Yarrowia lipolytica: one gene and its partner. The protein of the gene in region 2 interacts with the protein of the main gene of each other region in a pairwise test. Links are inferred from orthologs where the notes say so. Each region holds a gene or a part of one and is shown on either strand. Other genes may lie near its edges.

Region 1 (2,937 bases), about 730 kb from region 2:
ATCCAGGACGATGTGTGTGACGTTCTGGAGGAGGAGACCCCTCGAATGATTCTGGAGCTGCCTCAACCTCTCTCTGCTGGACAGCTTCGAAGTGTCTACTTACAGTACCTGCGACCTCGACAACGGTTGACTGACCGGGCAGCTCAACTGGTTGAACGATACTGGAAGATTCTGTGGATCGAAACGCAGAATAACTTTGCATACAAGTGTGTTGTGACTCGACCTGCTCTTACCTATAAGCGAGATCCTATCACCAAGCTGTCTACACGAGCGCGGGCTTATTGCATTGATTTGGACATGGAGGTTGAGGTTGAGGTTGGAGATCTTCAGCTTGAGCGAGGAGATCGGCTTGTCAGCATGGGAGTTGTGCGCGCTAATAAATACACTGGAGAGCTGGTCCTGTGTGTTTAGGTGTAGAGGAGTTTGGTAAAGGATGATAAGGGAGCATTTGTATATAGTAAATCATGCATTAATCTATGAGTTTCGTTGTTCAGTTGCTGTCTATATGCCCAGCACTTCAGTCGCTTACAGCAACTTTAGATGACCAGTGACTCGGTCAATCTCAGACTTGGGAGCAGGGCCGACACCTAGAACAGTGGCACTTCCTGCAGCAATCTGGGTTCGGCCAGCGTCTCGGATCACACAGGCGATGATACCTCGCTCGAGAGCTTGTCGCTTGAGCTCGAACAGCTCGGCCTCAGACTTGACCTGGAGGGCCACCTTGGCCTGGCCCCATCGGACCCATGATCGGGTGGTTTTAGGCTTGAGATCGGAGGACTGTCTGTAGCATGCCAGAGCTGCATGTGCACACTGGGCTGCGATCTTGCCCTTAGTCATCTTGAGATCAGTTCTCACCACCAGCACCATTTTCAATTCTCCACGGGCTTTGTCCTCGTGAGCCTGCAGCTGCTTGATGTCTTCCTCTGTGAACTCATCCTCGGACGAGTCGGCCTCGGAAGAGGATATCGAAGATGAAGATAGTCTTCGTGCAGCTAGCTTTCGGGGAGCAGGAGTGGTGGCTCGAGGAATGACGTATCGTCCAAGAATGACACCTGCGCCGACCAGACCGGATGCCACGAGGTAGTTGATTGTTTGTGTAGACAGGGTCGCGGGAAGAGTCAACATTGTAATGGTGTGTTGAAGTTGATTGAAATTTCGATGCAACGAAGTTTGATTTGGGTCATGCATGACATAAAGTGACGGAAGATGAGTGCACGCACTGCACTCTGTACCGATACAAGCGTCGGTACACTACTTGTACTTGTAGCTGCGATAAACAAGTTCAACGATGACAACTTACTTGCATTGTATAATGGAAGGAAAAATTATGTGCCATTTTGATATACAACCGAACTGTGTACTCGTACTGTATCTGAATATCAACATCACCTCGTTTGCTCTATGGTTAGCACCGTTAGAGTTCGGGACATCTCCAGCACAAGGCACAGTTACATGTATGTACAGTACTCTTCCTGTTAACAACCACCCAGCACTGATGTACTCCAATGACCAGGATTGGATGTGTTGGGTCTGACATGGCTCGTTGAACTTAAGCGATGCACTCTCGTATACGGTTTGCGCTCATACTGTAGACAGCTTTTTATGTTGCCTATTATGAGCAATGGAGATACACTACAGTAAAGAGATCCCTGATTGGATACTACTGATAGCAAGCCATGTGTAAACCCATCAAGAGCCTCATTCATATGTTTGTCCACGTGCCAAAACAGATCTCCAAGGAAACACTCACTAACAAATCTTTCTGCTAGTCAGATGAGATTCTCTCAGGGCCTTTCTTGGGTTGGTTAGTGCACTAGCGCATGGGCAGGATACAAACGAGTTGGAAAAACGCCACGCGCCATGGGTGAACGGAAACCTGTTCGCATCCATCTCGACTGCAGACCCCTTGGGCATGTTTCCCCGATGAGCACACCTCGTCAAGCTGCCGTCATTTGTTACAGCTCCCGTATGCATTGGGCTGGAAGTTATGCTGTGGGAACTTCTGCCACTGATGACATTGTTCAGGATGGCCTTCGTGGATCTTAAAGCATTAACTTCAAACATGCCGGCTCTAGCGAAAGGGACAAACCATCGATGTTTGTACTCGAACATCAGATCCAGAGCATGACAGACTGCCTGCTGTCTACTCTACTTGGACCATGGCGACCCATGATTCTTCTGCCAAGGGCCAGATGCGTGGGTTCATCACCGACAAATTCACAATGGTCGAGCCGTCGTTGCCTCAAGATGTGGGCTATCTCCCAAAGGCAGTTCTACCCAACTACAAGTCTCCCTCGATGATGCCAATGTTCGCGTTCGCAGATTATCGCCGATGTTGCCAACCAAGAGAAGCCGCACTCGGACCAATCTTGATTCCATGTACTTCTCCAGAAAGGGTCTAGACAGATTTACTCAGATTCTGGTGGTTCTGAACGATGTCGTTGGTGATAAGGCATGTGCTCGCGACCTTCTTGGTCGATTGAAGAACGCATTTACTGTGTTCGTCAATCACAGACAGCAGAATCCACTTGCTTACAACACCCTCTGGAAGGGCATTGTCTCTACTGCGGGCCTTGGTACGGACTCCCCCGCTGATTTCGGTAACTTACTACAATGACCTTCATATCCACTATGGTTATTTTGTTCATGCCGCTGCTATATCGCCAAAGTTGATAGAGAGCTGGGAGACGGGAAATGGCTCACTCAGAGAGACAGTGGGTCGATAATCTGGTGATAGACTACGCTAACCCCAGTCCTCAGGGTAAGAGCTTTCCTATTCATCGATCTTTCTACTGGTGGTCTGGTCACTCGTGGGCTAAGGGCCTGCATCTTAGTGCTGATGGTAAGGATGAAGAGTCTTCTTCTAAAGACTACCACTCAGTGTATGCCATCAAGCTCTGGGGTAATGCCAATGGTAACCAGGCAATGGAGGCCCGT
Region 2 (3,227 bases):
CATGAATCTGAACTCTGAAGTGTCTATTAATGGAGCAAAGGGGTGTGTGTACAAGTAGGGGATTAGTAAATGTGATATTTGGGGATTTGACAAGTAGTATACGAATCTGAACGCTTCGTGAGTGGTTCGGGTATGTCTCCGGCTTCTCTGGCTCGTTTTCATCCGATTTCAGACAGTGATATGTTGTGTTCAAGATATCCCACCAACCCCACCAAAATTCTATTCTGCACGTTAAACGACATGGGCATTGAATACTCGTTAAATTCACGCCGGAAATAACATGAGGTTCTTTTATGTGCAACGCCACAAAAACCCGATCGACGACAGTCACGTGACCATCCTCCGTATACACACGCCTCCACCTCCACCACCCCCCTTGTAACAGTACATACGCGTACTTGTACTCTTAATCCACGTGACACACCTCAGAGGTTACAATGCAAGCCCAATCTGTAAATCTTTATTAATCTACCACTACTTACAGTAATTACACCACCAGTGGAACTATGACATTCCCTCAATTCCTCACGCTCTAGTTCTCGATATGCTGGTAAGGGTGAACAAGCAGGTTGCTGAACTTCTCAAGGGCCTGGACTCCTCGAACCTCCTGGGTCTGCTGAGGAAGTCGCACAATGTGGAAGTCCTCGTACAGATCGAGAATCTGCTCCAGGTACTTCTGCTGCATCTTGTATCGAGAGGAGCAGAGCTCGCAGTCGTCTCCCTTCTTGGGGTACAGCAGCTGGTTGACGACAATGTTGTGGGTGTCAATGTCAAAAGAGGTCAGGTCCTGGACCATTCGCTCTGTCTCGTACAGAGACAGGAACTCGGGAATGCAAACACACACAAAGGTGGTGAGGTCGGGGTTCTTGAACTGGGTGTTGACCTCAGAGATGGTGGCTCGGGTCTCGTTGAGCTTTGCGAACATGTCGTCAGCAGAGGGACCCCCCTGGCCTCCCATCAGAGAGCCAAGCATGGGGCCAAATCGGCCGGAAAGCTCGGAGATCTTGCCCAGAGCCTTCTCCAGAACGGTGGGGAAGGTCAGGAATCGCAGAGTGTGGCCGGTGGGAGCAGTATCGAAGATGATGACGGAGTAGGATGTGCTCTTGACCTGCTTGAGGACCTCGGCAAAGGACATGGCCTCGTCAACACCGGGGATAGAGAAGGCAATGTCCTGCATCATGTTAGTCATGCCGGCTCCAGCGCCTCCTGCGCTCTGGGCCTGCTCGATCATCTCCTGAATGGACCCACTGGGGTCAATCTCCATGCAGTGCAGGTTGTCGATACCATTCACAGGTCGGGCGTCCTTGCCGAACTTCTGGCCAAAGGCGTCAGAAAGGTTGTGTGCGGGATCAGTGGAGATGAGCAGAACGGACTCTCGGTTCTTGGCCAGCTGGATGGCAAGGGAACAGGAGGTGGTGGTCTTACCAACACCTCCCTTACCACCGACAAAGATCCATCGGAGAGAGTCCTGGTCAATGATGTTCTGGAGAGAGGGGGCGGGGGAGTCTTCGTCCATTGTGTGTTTTTTTAGATACTTGGACTAGGGGTTGTTGAAGTACAAGTAGTTGGGGGGCAACAAGATCTAAAACTATCACGTCCCAGACAGACAGGCTCGCTGTATGTCAAGGGTTAGGGTAATATGCTTTCAGACACGAGTTTCGAATGTGATCGTACATGATGGAAGTGTGCTATTCAGAGCCTCAGAGCCGAAGAGAGTTTCTATCGAAGCACAGACAGCTGTTAACTGAAATCGGGTAATAAGGAGTCGAAAATAGTGTGTTTGAAATGTTGAATTTCTGACATCTGGGGTAAATAACAATAATAACAACCGGAAATACTGTTGACTAATGACGGTAAGTTTTTTGGAGAAATTGTTTCCGAGGGGATAACGTCCGTTTGAGGGATATTTTCGGATCTCCTACAAGTACTTGGTCCAGTTGTGCAGTGCTCATTTAAAATACGAACAAAATTACTGCCGTTATCTCCGCTGCAGTATGTACTCGTAGTAACGCTATAAAAAACTTATAGCAACGTACTGTAGTGTGAAAATAGCAGGGGGACAGGTCAATTGCTCCCCCCCCGTAGAATATGTAGCTAATGCCACCGTCTACTTGTGGCTAAAAGATCGTTGGGTGTAGTTTGTCGTCAACTGGTCCCCCCGCATCTTTCCGAAATTCTATCCTCAAAGCTATCTTGCATGTACGTGTCATCTGTCCACGGGTGATCATAGTTCTCTTCTAACGAGTCTGTCTCAAAATCACGTATTACTCTCTTCGCACTATAGCAAACCTCGGAATAGCAACTACAGGATGGGATACAGATTTCACCGTAGAAGAGTCCCAAAAACCCGACGATACTCCACCTAACCGCCCCCCCTTACAGCCTGGACGAGTTTTAATATTCCCTTTTAGCTGTAGCCAAGCCTCTGGTTGGGGCATAGACTGCATAGTTCCGAACTTCTCCGCATCACGTGACCAGAAACTCCCACATCTCAACTTACATATCTTACATTGTCCTTACTGGTCGGGCCAAAGAGAACACCGCTGCGCTTCCATGCTGCGTGCCGTTACATCCCATGATACAAAGCCGTGCTGCAATACACTTGTACAAGATAATCCTTCGCCGCACAATTGCATTGCACAACTGTGGGGTAGCACCTGGTAACACAATCCACACCGTGGGCGTTATCTTTCCCATCGCACACGCGTTGGTACTCTTCCTAAACCACCTGAAATACACAAAGCTGGCCAATGGCTATCTCCGCAACTTGCTCTATAGTATAGTTATGGGCGCAACCTTGTTACCATGTTTGAAGGAGACACACTGCCATTGCATAACAGGGAGTGAAGCAAAGTCGGCGGAAACCGTCGGAATATCGCCAAGTGGGGCTCGGGAGAAGGCTAGAGGGGTCAGTTAGACAGCTATGCCCTCACAGCGCTCAACGGGTCTGGTCCGGAAAATTCTGCAGAGTTATCCCGGGTGCTGGCCGCTGGAAAAATAGAGTTTCACAAGAAACTGTAAAACTGGGGCCGGTTCTTCCGGTTTATATAAATATTTGACGCTCTCCACAACTTACCCCATAACGAGTTAACGTGAGTAGTACAATGGGTGTACTTACGGTCGAAACGATACCTGCGGAGACGGCCAATTACGACATTTGTGGCCGCTGGAGTGGAATTGATGGAAAAAATCGCTTGCGATTCGTTTGTTTCGATTTGAGAGGGTCT

Evidence for each region. The genes of interacting proteins can lie anywhere in the genome.
Region 1: the proteins of YALI1_E39676g (region 2) and YALI1_E32396g interact in a two-hybrid assay, tested with the Schizosaccharomyces pombe proteins (2 studies listed by BioGRID). The link is inferred for Yarrowia lipolytica from reciprocal best matches to the Schizosaccharomyces pombe genes get3 and pth2.

Annotation. Positions count from the first base shown.
Region 1 is NC_090774.1:3,238,406-3,241,342, forward strand, and holds YALI1_E32396g (uncharacterized protein), read right to left. Parts: upstream 1,189-2,937; coding exon 526-1,188; downstream 1-525. Other genes in the region: YALI1_E32361g (uncharacterized protein), read left to right, coding at 1-411; YALI1_E32411g (uncharacterized protein), read left to right, coding at 2,695-2,937.
Region 2 is NC_090774.1:3,966,093-3,969,319, forward strand, and holds YALI1_E39676g (uncharacterized protein), read right to left. Parts: upstream 1,517-3,227; coding exon 533-1,516; downstream 1-532. UniProt on the Schizosaccharomyces pombe protein: ATPase required for the post-translational delivery of tail-anchored (TA) proteins to the endoplasmic reticulum. Recognizes and selectively binds the transmembrane domain of TA proteins in the cytosol.